Caenorhabditis elegans: one gene and its partner. The protein of the gene in region 1 purifies or fractionates together with the protein of each later gene. This does not show direct contact. Each region holds a gene or a part of one and is shown on either strand. Other genes may lie near its edges.

What was found.
Region 2: the proteins of marc-6 (region 1) and C09E7.7 fractionate together in Caenorhabditis elegans (co-fractionation; one large-scale study listed by BioGRID). This does not show direct contact.

The regions. Positions count from the first base shown.
Region 1 is NC_003279.8:10,797,832-10,805,639, reverse strand, and holds the start of marc-6 (RING-type E3 ubiquitin transferase), read right to left. Parts: upstream 6,018-7,808; 5' UTR 6,004-6,017; coding exon 5,853-6,003; intron 5,808-5,852; coding exon 5,696-5,807; intron 5,065-5,695; coding exon 4,398-5,064; intron 3,819-4,397; coding exon 3,449-3,818; intron 2,641-3,448; coding exon 1,424-2,640; intron 926-1,423; coding exon 815-925; intron 443-814; coding exon 196-442; intron 1-195. Other genes in the region: F55A3.2 (C2H2-type domain-containing protein), read right to left, coding at 7,740-7,808.
Region 2 is NC_003281.10:6,546,220-6,553,063, forward strand, and holds C09E7.7 (DUF7809 domain-containing protein), read right to left. Parts: upstream 5,025-6,844; 5' UTR 5,011-5,024; coding exon 4,927-5,010; intron 4,715-4,926; coding exon 4,505-4,714; intron 4,451-4,504; coding exon 4,346-4,450; intron 4,300-4,345; coding exon 4,150-4,299; intron 3,927-4,149; coding exon 3,648-3,926; intron 3,394-3,647; coding exon 3,190-3,393; intron 3,143-3,189; coding exon 2,930-3,142; intron 2,883-2,929; coding exon 2,574-2,882; intron 2,488-2,573; coding exon 2,361-2,487; intron 2,318-2,360; coding exon 1,903-2,317; intron 1,856-1,902; coding exon 1,751-1,855; intron 1,708-1,750; coding exon 1,645-1,707; intron 1,600-1,644; coding exon 1,507-1,599; intron 1,460-1,506; coding exon 1,358-1,459; intron 1,313-1,357; coding exon 1,271-1,312; intron 1,227-1,270; coding exon 1,014-1,226; intron 965-1,013; coding exon 691-964; 3' UTR 503-690; downstream 1-502.

The DNA of each region.
Region 1 (7,808 bases):
ATCTAAATTTAATTTTTTAAATAAGGTTTTCAGCTGATAAAAACCAATAAAAAAGTGAAAATGATTGAAATCCAGGTTTTTTGGGGTCTCCTCGGGGAGTACACGAGCTGCGTAAATCAACACATGGCCATTTTTGAGATTTTTTCAATTTAAAGGATCCAATTAATTCTGAAATCCTTCTAGAATCCATTTTACCTGAAATAAACGCGTAAAACTTGATCACAACAACCGGAAAAGCGATAAAAGTCGATAGATACAGTATACATGGGACGACAATCCTCACGAAAACGTGTAACGCCGCAAAATTCTCAATTCCACGTTGCACAAGTAGATCGAGTTCTGTTTTCAGCCACCAATCGGGTCCCATTACAGCAATTACACCGAAGATTTTGATTTGAACAACGCCCATTGCCCAGTCTTGATATGGGAACATTAGTGCTGTCTGAAATGATTTTTTGAAATGATTTGAAGATTTTCTACTCTTTTTTTGTGGCCAGAATATATTTATATACTTTTTGCAGCGAAAAATCATAAACTTTGAAAATTGAAACTTTAAAAAAATTATTATGGAAACGCAGAAAAATGCTTCTTTTGAAATTGAAAACTCTCCACCCCTTTTTTTCGTATTTTTGTCTTGTTTTTCGTTGCTTTCAACGATTATAATGCCGAAATTGATTAAAATATGAATTTTAAACGTTTTTTCGGCGTAAAAATCATTTTAAAAAGACAAAAAGACTTGAAAACTTATGATTTTAGGCTAATTTTTTAATAATTTTTTCTCAGAATTTTCAGAAATCCAGTCTGAAAGTGTTACCTGTTGATATCCCAATCGCATTGGAGTGAAGAAAACCAATTGGAAATAAGTACCCATCAAAAGTGGCAAGACGATAATTATTGGAATTGCAACAAGAAACAGGCGCATTCCCTGAAAATTTTTTATTAATTTTCAATTTTAAATTTTGAATGGATGGGTTTTTTTTGTAAATTAAGAAATTATGGAAAATTTGGAAATTTTCTGAAATTTTTTTCCAAAAACCGGCATCCTTGTGTTGAATGGGCCCGTGTCGATTCACGCAGCTCGTGTACTCCACGAGGAGAAGATTTTACAGTTTTTGTCTGAACCACTTTTTTTCTGAAATTTAGAACAGTAAATTTTTGGGCTAAAAATATGGTAATCGGTCTCAAAACGATAATTTTTGTCACATACGAAATTACAAAAATCGTCGAGACCGGGTACCGTGTTTTTGGCGGAAAAATTGCGGATTCGGTATTGCCTCCAATCTCTAATTCGACTGTCAAATTCAAGAAAAATTAGCTACATCTGTTCAAAATCAAGCTTTTTTGGTAAAAAAAACAATCAACACCTTCTCCACGAGGAGTACACGAGGTACTCCGTAAATCGACATTAAATAATTTACCGTACCAAGTAAGAATAATGAACAACAGCTCTCTTGAACAAGTGTGGTCCTCCTCTCACAAACTTCGTCACAACTGCTCCAAACTTCCCGATTGTCCAACAAACATAGAGACCCAGAGAAACAGTGTACATCTCATGAACATTCGTTTGTCCCGAAACCATTAGAATAATGAAACGTCCAATTGAAGCAGGTACAATGAATACAACAACACTTGATAGAGTTGTTGTCAAAGACATTAGAACAAGAAGAATCGATACACGAACTCCGAATAGTGATGGTCGATTGTATGGCTCGTAGGCTCGGGGCTCGCGGAGCAGGAGAAGAGCTTGATGCTCAGCTGCAAGACCTCCACCAGCTTGATTATTTCCTGCTCTCAATGGATCATTGTTATTATTATTATTGTTCTGATTATTGTTATTGTTATCCGACAACAAATACTGATCCAAATCCAACGCAGCTCCAACTACTTTACACCAAAATCTGACTCCATACTTGATAAAACCACGACCATTTGCATGTTCTAAGATTGCAGGCATCACTACTTGAAGTATCAGTAGTTCCAATGAGATTTCTGATAGTGGAGTCTCTGCGCTCATTGAAACATTGTAGGGTAGAAGTGATGGAATAAGTGATGAGATTATGTTGAGAGGAATGTAGAAGATGAGAAGAATCGTTGAAAAGAACAGAGTTGTAGATACAACAAGTCTTCGGAAATGCCGCGTGAACGGTAGATCAATCATTTCTTGAATTGGATTAAAGTCGGGATCATTTAGATTTCTCATAAACCATAGTACTCCAGGACGCAGAATTTCTCGTAGAAGTATTACAAATGACGCTGAATAAAATACATAAACCATTCCAACCATCCAATGAAGGAATATTGACATGAATGGAGCTGTGGCAAATGTTGCAATTCTTTGTGATAATGTTATATTGAATAATGGAAGTGTACAAACATCCATCCAACATCCACACATTACAGGGAAAAATCCAATTTCCAAGAATACCAGCAAGAAGACTTTAATGATAAGGAACATTATTCCAAGGAATCGATACATCATTTTCATTTTGAATTGGAGCATTATTTGGTGAATGACGTAGGTTATGATGGCTATTTGAATGTATCCAAGAAGCATCGCTACGATTGATGGGAAATATGAAATTTTTCCATGAAGTCCGATGACACTTAGGAACCAGTTTCCAATGCGAAATGGGAAGTACGCTGAAAAGTTATTCAGTTTGAATAAATTTTGTTCGGTTCTTAGCGATTTTTAAGCGGAAAATTTGGAACTTTTGAGCAGGAAAATTTAAGAAATTATCCTAAAAGAATCAAAAAAGCTGCCTGAAGCTGAAGCTGCTGAAGCTGGGGAAATTTCAGATTTTTTCCAAAATTTCCTTTTTCGATTTTTCAATTTTTTCTTTAAAAATTGATAAATTATCTTTTTAAATGTATTTAATTTGCTTTTTTGAAAAACTTGCAATTATTATTATTACCTAGACGCAAAAAATACGGTACCGGTATACGGTATCGACCAGACAATTTTCGTTACATGTGCGCCTTCAAAGAGTACTGTAATTTCTACTGTGGAATTTTCAACGCTAGAAATAAGAATTTTCTATCTACAGTACTCTTTAAAGGCGCACGTTTAACAAAAATAGTCGTGTAAAATAAATAAAACTTGATTTTTAATTAATTAATTTGTTTGTTTTTCACAATTTTTCACCGTTAATTTCAGAATAAAAACAATAATCAAATAAGAATATTCAAAATTTTAAATTTTTTTGAGATTGCAATTTATAAAAATGTTTCTTGTTTATTTGGAATAATGTAAATTTTTTGAAAGTTATTTTTTCAACAAAAAACAAATTAAAAATATCAAAAATCCATCCAAAAAAAACTTTTTTTTTGACTATTTCTTAGGTAATCATTTTTAGTCTCCGCTTTCTAAATTTATAGATATTTTAAATAAAAAAACTGTTAAAAAAAGGGAAAATTCCGCTTAAAACTCGCTACTCCAATTAAAATTTACCAAAAGTAGCAGTAAAAAGTGTATTCAATGATATAACCCAGAATACATGTTCCAAGAAAATCAAAGATCCATCAAGTCCCAATAATCTCTGCCATGTCAGTTCATCACCAAATCGATCCCATTCTCTCCAATTATCTTCTTGATCTCCAGCTCCACCTTGTTCTTGAGCTGCTGCTGCTGCCGCCGCTGCTTCTTCATTTTCTCGTTGACGACGAATTCGTCGATTTGCACGTGCAGCTGCTCGTGGAACTATTGGCTCCGGCTCCATTGGTGGTGGAATACGATCTTCTTGTACATTTTGAAGTACATGATCATTTTCGAGTACTTCATTCTCATCATCTCTCATGTCATCGTATATACCCAGATTTGGCTAAAATAATGAATAAAATTAGTGAATTTTTGAATTAATCTGTGAATTTTGCAAGGTTGCGGCGCGGTTTACCAAACAATTAATTTTACAAAGCTATCAACTTTTTTCAGTTTAAGGTTATTCTAATGTTTTTTTTTCTAAAAAATCTCTTTTTGTGGCTTACATATTTTAGGAAAAAAAGCAATTTGATAATAAAAAAGCCAAAATAGTCAGAAAATCCGTGAAAGCACAAAAGAAACACGAAATTTAATTATTGAAATTACTGGCAGGTAAATTCTGAAATAGAATTTTTGTTTCCTGAAATTTTCAAGTGAAACATTTAGCAATAAGCATTTAATAATGTCCCTGTAGACAAGACACTTATTTTTCACTTGAAAACTTCAGGAAAGACGAAGAATTCGTAGAAACAAAAGTGCGGCACGGAAAAATGGGCGGAGTTTCGAGGCAAAAGCGCGGCAATTCAAATTCGCCAAAGTTAGCGGTCTTCAGGCAACCTAGATGAAGTTTTTTCGTTTTTCAATATATTTTCAGGAAAAAAAACCGCGCCGCGGTCTTGCAAAATTCCTATATCTACAGTACCATCTGCGGCCGGAATCCATGTCTAGCTTCAAGAATATCACGTCTTCTTTCTTCAAATGGTACTCTCCTCCGAGCCACATAAGCTTCACCTTCTTCACGAAATTCTGGAACAGGATCCTCTTCATATCCAGATTCACTATCTTCTTCCTCTTCTTCATCATCCTCGTCGTCATCCTCCTCATCATCTTCATCTTCTTCATCATCTTCCGATTCATCCGACGATTCATTATTCTCATTAACAACATCATCCTCTCCTTCATTCTCTTCCGCTTCAATATTCAAAAAGTGTTGTGGTCCACCGATAATAATTTGCTCGCGGAGCCAGACAAGCGAGATGAATGTACACACAAAAACGAGAAGTAGTAGACTTCCTTTCAGAATATCATTGAAAAAATGTTCAGCTTTGAACAATTGGAATGGTGCATTGACAATGTCATGAAATGATAAATAGAAGATGCAATTATAGATACGGGCGGCTGTTAATGGTACAATTCCAAGCCATGTAGTCATTACAATTGTATATATAATCCATGTTCTGACCATTATTGCTCCTGATATCAAAACTCCACGTAATATTTCAAGAATTGGAAGAGCTTTTGGCATATCTTGTCGATAAATTGGTTGGAATGAATATTTGTGATTACACAGTTCACATACTTCTTTTTTACTGAAAAAATTAACATTTTTAAATTTTTGTTTGATTTTTAGAGAGAAACAAGAAATCAGGAGCTACAGCACTCTTTACAGGCGCACACAATTTGAGAATCGGCCGTTAATATTCCAGATATCGTATTTTTCAGGCAAAATTATCAAAATTTATTTTAAAAAATTCAAACTGACTAGAAAAGGCTGAATTTCATTAACAGACTTTTTCAGAATTTCAAAACCAAAAACATTTAACAAAAACTAGTTGGCTTGAAATCTTCAATTTTACATTTTAGAAGCAATTTTTTTGGTTTTTTAAAATTATTTTTTAGATCTTAAATTTTCAAATTTCTTCTAAAAATCTAAGAAACTACCCGAAAGTTGCTTTTTTTTCAATTTCGAAAGAAAAATCCCGAAAACTTGCCAAAATCTAAAACTTTTGTCACCTTTTTCGTGTCATAGCGACCAGAATTTAATTATTTTAAATTTCTACTTATTTTTGAGTGGTTTTTATCCGTTTTCTTGCCGATTGGCAAACAAAATTGGAAAATTGAATAAAAATCAAATTCCAGCCGCTGTAAATTGGTGAAATCTCAGATTTTGGCTAAATTTAGGCATTTTTTCAGCTATTTTTAATTGAAAATCACCATTACCTGTACTTGAGCCACTCTACTAGACATTCTTGATGTACATATTTAATACTTCCTGTACATAAGCACGGATAATAGAGACTTCCCTCATTTCCACGACATACTCGACACATTACTGGAAAAATATGGATTTTATCAATTAAAAACTTCAAAAACTGACAATGATCATCATTATCATCGATTATTGGATCAGAAGGTGGTTGTGGACACGGTTCTTCTGGATTTGGATTTTCAGAAGAAGTTGATGGTCGATTTGAAGCATCTACACTACCGGCTTCATGTTCCGGTGGTTGTTCATGTTCAACTTCCATTCGGTTTGAGGATTCTGAAAATTAATGGAATTTTATATTTAAAAATAGAGGAAATCGAGTATTTAAAGCCGATATTTCAAAAAAAAGGTTCAGGATTCCGAAATTTATACTTCTAATTCGACATTCTGTAGATTTACGTGGCTCAAATACTCCCGGAGGAGAAGATTTTGAATTTTTGGCAAGGTTGTAGACAAATTGTCGTTTTTAATGTTAAATACAAAACGAATGAGCGGAAATGTTCTAAAATCGATAAATATAGCAGAAAATTGTAAATACCTATGAAAAAATTGCAGGATTTCTACTGAAATCCTGTTTTAGAGGATTTTCGTTTTTTTCTTTATTTAATGCTAAAGTCGCAAATTTATATCAATTTTCCAGGATTTTAAGCAAAAACCAATTTTTATCATTTAATTATAAATTAGAAACTACAAATTCTCGTTTTCCGGAAGTTTTCACCAGTGAATAAATCAAAAATCACCTAAAATGCTTTAAATAAACGATAAAATAGCGATTTGAATGTTTTCTACTCGCGAAAATGATCCAAAATCAAGCTTTCCAGCTATAAACTTTAATTCTTCAAAGGGGGTCCACGAGTTTGAAAAGCTACTGGAATGTTTTTTAAAAATGTGAAAAAATTAGAAAATTGGTGGGAGAATCATGAAAAACACTAAATTTTAATGCAAAACTATTTTTGTCGGTGAAAAAATTGAGAAAATAGTTAAAATTAAAGCTGAAACTGTGATCAAAACAAAAATCGATAAGTTTCTCATGTTGATTTTGAAATTTATGCTGAAAATTAGAGTATTCGAAGCTTCAAAGCGTGATACAGCCACCAACCAGCAAGAGTGTTGGGAAATCGGAGACGCAGAGAGAAAAAGGGAAACCGGGTGAGAGAGTGTATAGAAATGAGAGACAGGATGGTGATAGGATAGAGAAGGAAAGTGCATTATAGCCTAGAAAAGATTATTTTTAACGAAAAATAGAATTTTACTATTTAAAATAATTTCTAAATTCTGGAATTTCTTCAGATTTTAATTTTTTTAAATCAAAATTTAAATTTGAGTGAATTTATATTTAATAAATTATTATTTAGTAAATTCGCGCACTCCTCATCGGTAAACATGGGTACTTTTTCATTAGAAAATAAAATAAAAACATACAAAAATTGTGAAAAACTACCGTAATTGCTTAAAGGCGCACACATTTTCTACGAAAACAATTAATCGTTGCAGGAGACGTTTTACAAAAGTGGCGTGCGCCTTTAAAGGGGTACTGTAATTTATAGACTTTTTTTGATTTTGGATCATTTTCTGTAAAAAACGCTCAACTTTATCTCATGAATACAGTTTTTCCAGTAAATTTTTTAGAATCATTGAATAAACTGATGGAAACGAGAAATTCTAGTTTTTACCAGTAATCAAAAATGAGAAGAATTTGCAAGGTTTTGATTAAGAATTGATTTTTTCTTGCAAATCACCAATTTATCTCATGTTTTCTTTAAAAAAAAACTCATTATCATAATAAATTAATTTCCGGACTTTCAACCGGTCAGTTAACGAAATTCAAAAAAATTTAATGAATAAACAATGAGATGAATTTATTAAAGCATTATAATAATATTATCTAAAACAAAAAATGCAATCATATGACTTGACAGCGAACATGTAAATAAAGTAACCCGTAGCAACGTAATTATCAACGAGAGAAAGAGAGAGAAGAGAAGCAGAGACACAGGCTTAGAGGCAGGTTAGAGTCACATCTCCTTCGACTTTCACACGATATTGTTGATATAGTTGAGAAGACGA
Region 2 (6,844 bases), on another chromosome or scaffold:
TTTCCTCATTGGAATAATTATTATTTTCGCTTATATCCTCTAAACCAGGCAAGTCTAGGCACTTCACTAGCTGAAAAATATTAAAGTTGAAAAATTAAAAAAAAAACCATAATTACCTCTTAGGGAATATAGTCAATTGCGGCAAGCATAAGTGTACGTTTTGAGTGCTTGGTTTCTCTTGACAGAAAATCATTGTCCATTGTGATCTACATACAAAAAGTCACAATTTTAAATTATACAACATCTTTTTCAAAAAGTTGATGAAAAACGGCAACATTAAATAGTCAATGTATCGTTCAAGAAAGGAAATTTTTTAAAAACTCAAATGATCTACCAAATTTTAACTTAATTCAATGTCAAAAACACTGATAGATCAAAAAGGAGAAAGACAACCGAATCTCGAAAAAAAACTTTAAAAAAGTACTTTTAGCAAAAAAGTGTCAAAAAAAATAATCGAAAGGGATTTAACTTTTGGCAAAAAAAAATTTCCAGGAATACAATATACACTTGAAAATTTATTCATTGGTAAAACATTGGTATTCAAAAAATTTAAATGCAAAAGCAATTTGTTCAGGAGCAACATGTCGGGAATCTTTTCTTTTCCTTGAGCCAATTATCTGTAGATTGAAAGTTTTAAACCAAAAATAATGAAATTGAAGGTTTAAAACTCACTTTCACATGAGTACCCGTCTATGCTGACATGTTATTAGTCATCTGAGTTGAAGAAGTGGAATCAGAAGTGGAAGGCTGCTTATTCATTTCATTCCAGTACAATCTCATAAACTTGTCTGACATCTTCGGTGGTTCTGGAAGTGGTTCAAGATTCGTAAAGTCATCATTCCTTTTGATCTTTTGAATGTTCTTCTCGACAGTGTGTAGATAGTCACTGATCTGCTTCTTAAAACTTTCGAGCTCCAGAAATGATATATGTTGTACTTCTGGATGCTGATTCAACGAAATCAATCTGAAAATCATTTCATAAGATGAAAGTTATATCCACTAATTCAACGAACTTATTGACCATCTCTTCAGCTTCTCTCTGCTGTTCTCCTTTTCTATACAAATCCTTGATCTTCTGATGTTTCCAAAGTACTTTTCTATAACTTCCATTCTCATCTTCATGATTCGATGGCCCTTCTTCTGTATGATTTTGATCCATAAGACTTTGAATTAATTTATGTTGTTCTTCATTTTGACGAGATAGTATCATCTTTGTTTCAAGGAGACTGAAAATATTTGCGTTAAAATAATCTATATTCATAATTTTCACCTTGACTTCTCCATTTCACGTCTCTGTTTTTCTTGACGAAGTCTGAAAGTTACATGTAAACTAGTAATAGAGGCACCGGGCACTCACTGGGCATTTTCCGACTCTAAGATCTGTCTCTTCACATCCTTGCCTGTTCCAACTCTCAGTTTAGAAGCTTCTTCCTGCAGTCCATAGGCTATCTCCCGTTCTCTGAAAATAGTATAATTATCTCTCAAATTCTTTAAAATTCTAAAAACCTTTCAAGTTGATCCTTCAATTGGTTGACTTCGTTTCTCAATTTGGCGGAATCCTTTCTCTCATTTTTGAGTGTTTCCGCAGTCTCAAGTTCGCTGAAAATGAACCTATATATTATTTTTACCTGCAAATAAGCTCACCGATTCAGTTGAAGTTTAAGCTCAAATACTTTTGTAGACAATTGGTCACGTGAATTCGACACTCTAAACATGAAAAATCAATGGTGACAGGTGCAAGACAACTCACTTCTCATTAATCTCCTTCAGCTTTTTCCCCTTTTCAACGCACTTTGAAAGCTTAGTGTTTAATGCCTCATGGTCAGATTTACAGTTCCACAACGCAGACACTTGTCTGAAAGGTATAATGTCTATATTAATCCAAGACTAGAATTAACTTACTTTTTCCACGTTTCAACTTCTTCCAATTTCAACTCGAGCTTCTTCTTTGCCTCAACCTGAATCTTCACGTGGTCCAACTTTTCCTCCTGCAACCTTTGTTCAGCTTTCTTCGATCTTTCAACAGATCCAGTCATGTTCTTTTCAAACTTTTCAGACTTGTGCTTCATAGTTGTTAATTGGGTCTGAACATCTTTGAGTACATTCTGCACTGTTTTCATTTCCTTTCTGACACCACTACAGTCCGTACAGTTTGCCATACTGCTTTCCACTTTTGAAGATGAACTATTTCCTGATTCTGTTGGAGTGTCGGAATTGTTTCCTTCCGGCTTCGAGATGCTTTTTGGGTTTTCTCTTTGATTTTTCATCACTTGCGGATTTGAAGTATCTTTAACTTTCATATTTTCCTTGTCTTCTCCTAAAAATAGAATATAAAAATGTGTGCTTCAAAAACTGCAAACCTTTGATATAGCGTCGCAAGTCTTTGTGGCTTGATGATACTCCTAGGAAAATATCAACTGGGTCTGGAGGTAAAATCGAACAAAACATTTTGTGTGATCCAAATTGAGGAAACCAAACTTGTACCAACTGAAAAATGGTTTTTTATCCGGAGTTTCCGTAAAAACGTAATAGAAGACTTCAAAATATAAGGCCTAACTTAATCGTAAACTTACTTCGAGATATTTGTCCAAGAGGCAGCAATATGTACATTCTGCCACAGCTTCAAACATATCAATAGTTTCAAGTTTATTTTGAGAGACGCTTTCCAAAAGTTTGGGGAATGCTAAATCCGCGTAAACCAAAACATCTGGAAATGCTTCTGTTATTCCCAAATATTTCAGTTCTTTCTTCAAATCGTTGAGTGTGAATCGCTTGACATCTCTGATATCTTTTACTGGAATATTTTCGAATTTCTTCCAATAGTTGCACATTTCCTGTTCAATTTTTTGAAATGCATCGGTTGTGATAAAACACTGGCTTTTCTGAAAATGAAATTAACTCTCAATTATTATTTTATCAAACTATTTACCAAGAACGGTTCCAACTGTGATACGAGAATCTTGATGTAGTCATCCAATACATGCATTGAGTTTATTTTAACTTTTTGAAAAACTCTCATAATTAAAGACATTAGATAGAATATTTCGGAAAATGCTCGAAATCCAGGAATGCAGAAATCACCAGTAGAAGTAATAATTGGAACAGTTCTTTGATCCGTTTTGCATATCGGAGTGATCAAGAACTAAAATTCGAATTCATTAAAATTTGAACAAAAAAACGAAAAGTTACCTCAATATCGTGCCACAAATCGCCAAAATTCTTGAAAACATCTTTAAGTTCCATTGCATACAAGAAACCATCCACATCCTTATACTCAATTGGCCTTCGATTTGGATATTTCATATTGATTGCTTTGAATAATTCACTTCTCATCACCATTTTACGATCTTCGTATGTAAAAACTCTTACAGCAATAGGCACGTTAGGGTGATTCTGAAATTTTTTGTTTAAAACATAACCTACTTGAGTTGTCATATAATCAAAAACTGCTTGTCATTTTTTTCCAAATTTACAGAGGATTGCAGAGATCATAACATTTTTTTGAACTTATCTCACTATCTATTTTCTGTTCAATTTCTGCTTGAGCTAATTATTGTAAATAATTGATATTATGTTAGCTAAGCTTTCAAACAACTCCAAGTCGACAGAAAGCGCTTACAGAAAGCAAAAAAAAATTTTTAACTAACCGTTTGATTGTACGGCATGAATAATTCCGGATGATTGTCCATTATTTTCGAAATTATTTTAACGAAACGTTTATGGAACAAAACCATCTCCAAGTATCTTTCTCGTCTAGTTTGCATCGAGAATTCAATAATCTGACTTTTCAGAAAATCAATGAAATATTTGAATTCTTCATCCTTCCAATCAGAAAATTCCTTCTTCCACATACTAATGAGAACATTCAGGCTGAGTTTAGGTGTAGATTCGTCAAGCGCGTCAAACTCTTCATGAGTCAAGGGCTGCTGAAAAAAGTTTATAAAAAATTCAATATTCTATTGTTGCCCTCAAAATAATACATGTGATACTACAAAACTTCTAGTTAATAATTAATGAAAACAAGCGTAACTTAGTCTTACTCGTAGAGAATATTCATTTGGTAACTCAAGTCTAAGTTTATTGTTTTCCGTATACATGAAATGTTTTTTCTACTAAAGCAGTGACAACTTCGATCAGGAGTTAACTTACAGCGGCTTTGATAACTGCAACTCGGACCTCTTCCTTGATATGCTTCAAAATGGTATCATAGTTCTTTACAAACTCGTAGCAATTGCCTAATTTGTCCTCTCTTATTCTGATACAGATCAACGCGCTTTGAATGAAATAACTATCAATTTTCTGAAATGAAATGTTAACATTTTAAGCTTTAAAAGTTTATAATTACTGTCTGTGACCATGTCCTGATGAGACAGTGGCGCAAATGCGAGAAAATATCATGTTTATAGAGAAACTGTCCTCCTTTCAAGCTCTTCATTATCGGAGCAGTTGTCTGAAATTGGTGATATTTCAACATGTTGTCTCAAACTGATTAATTATTTCTCACGGTGAACACCTCGTACATTGGAACTGCACACTTTTTGTGACTGGATGTAAAGATCATATAATAAGCGAGTGATTTTCGAAACTCTGCAGCTGTTCCATACCATCTAAATCGCCGATCGGACTTGAGAATCGCTTCGAGAACAGTGTCATCGGCAAGGTTTCGTGGATCGACAAGTGATTCGAGTTTCGATAAATTCAGGTTTCGACGGAGCTGAAATGTTCAAAAACTGTTGATAAGCATATTTAATTTTTTACAACAGTTCGAAAATAAGTCTTTATATAAAAAAAGTTTTTTTTTTTGTGTTTTTGTACAGTAAGGAAAGCACGTAAGTATTCTCTCATACTTCAGAAGAATAAGCCTTGTTACGTTAACCAGATACCACACAAAAATAGGACAAAAAGCCTTCAAGAAAAAATGCTTACCTCTAACGGAATATAGTCCATTGCCACGCGTAACAGTGAATATAGTGAATAGCATGTTTGACTTTTGTAGAAATCTTCAGCCATTAGTAAACTGAAAAACAAAACAAAAAATTGTCGTTATGAAGTAAGAAAATAATGAAAAAAAAAGTAGCCGTGATGTGCAACGTTGCACCGTTCTGGCCCGGTAGGCATTCTCGTGATCTGATGGTTTTTTAATAAGCACACTACTGGAGGCCCCACGAAAAGGGGAGCAGAACGAAAAGGGGATCTGCAAAAAGGGGATCTGCGAAAAGGGGAGATACGAAAAGGGGAAATACGAAAAGGGGAGATACGAAAAGGGGAGATACGAAAAGGGGAGATACGAAAAGGGGAGATACGAAAAGGGGAGCTGGCACTGTGCCAAACGCACAAAACGCATTTTTTCTCACGCAACGCACGTTGATTTTTAAAATTTTCTTCTAGAAGATACGCTTAATAACACGCGACGCGTAACATCGGAGCATCTTTGTATTGTTTTCTTCGAGAAAAATAGCGTTTGGCACAGTGCCAGATCCCCTTTTCGTTGCTCCCCTTTTTCGTATCTCCCCTTTTCGTATCTCCCCTTTTCGCAGATCCCCTTTTTGCAGATCCCCTTTTCGTGGGGCCTCCACTACTGAAAGGTTTAGCGGGAGAAATTTGAATTTTAAAAATAATTCTTGAAAAAAAGACGAAAAAAAGGAGTTCGGCTGTTTCCTTCTTTGCTTTCTCCGTACTCAAAACATGAACACACTATCTTGCAACGCCTGCGTCTCTACAGCCAACAGAGCGTTATAGGGAGAAACGACAGCACGGAGTGCCCCCCGTCTGTTGGGTCAAAAAAAAATATTCGCGCGCAAATGGGAGAATGCAATTCTATAAACGAGGCCTGTGAAACAAACATTTATTATTCATTTTATTCAAATCAATCATGAAAAAAGGCTTCAAGTTGCCACGGTCTCTTCGGGTGGAAATTGCGATAGGGCGCGCTTGCTGCAGCTTCATTGCGTCCACCGAGATTTCACCGTTGAAGAGTGATTTCCCTCGATTTTTATTAGTTTTTCGTCGATTTTTCTATTTCAAAAATGATAACAATTATAGAGTAGACTGAACCGAAAGTGGAGAAACAAAAATTATCGGAAACCGTTCGGTGGAAATGCATAACGAACTGTTTGAAAATAACAACTGAATTTTCGGATTTTTTAAAATTAAATTTTTATTTAAGTTTTTCTCATAACCTGCAATGATAACGTTTATAGAGCAAAATTTTGTCGTCATTTTAAGATATAATTCGTCTATGTACCTGTTGAAAGAACTCAGATCGAACTCTTTTTGTGAAATTCAGTTATAATTTTTCGTTAAAACGAGGAGCTAAAAGTTATTAATCTGAATTAAAAAGAGTCGAGACAGTGAATCTAATTAATATTTGGTATTTTATTAGAGCAATACACGTATAAAACATTTTATCATGGGTTTTTCGGCTCCAATTTTGTTGGCACAATATTTTATTTCTTGCCACATACTACTGTACGTTTGGGCTCAAATAAGCCATATAAAGTGCTGAACTATGAAGAATAATGTTTCAACATTACATTACTTACAAAAAATCAGGTTGAAAGCAATGTTTTCAGTCTTTCTTGGCTTTTTTCAACATAACTTAGTATTACCATCTTATTCTGTGCCTCAACTTAATCGTTACAAGTTTGAATTATTGAGAAAACTGTATTTAAAACCTATTACGGCTTTTCAAAACTCAAATATATAAAAACGGTATCTTCTTAAGCTTTCGTTTTCAGTTTCCAATACGTTCCTTTCAGTAAGGCTTGAAACTTTTGGAAGCTTCACTGCTAGTTTCCCACTTCACGATTTTCCAATTTCAACTTGTTAAAAACTGGCAAGATCA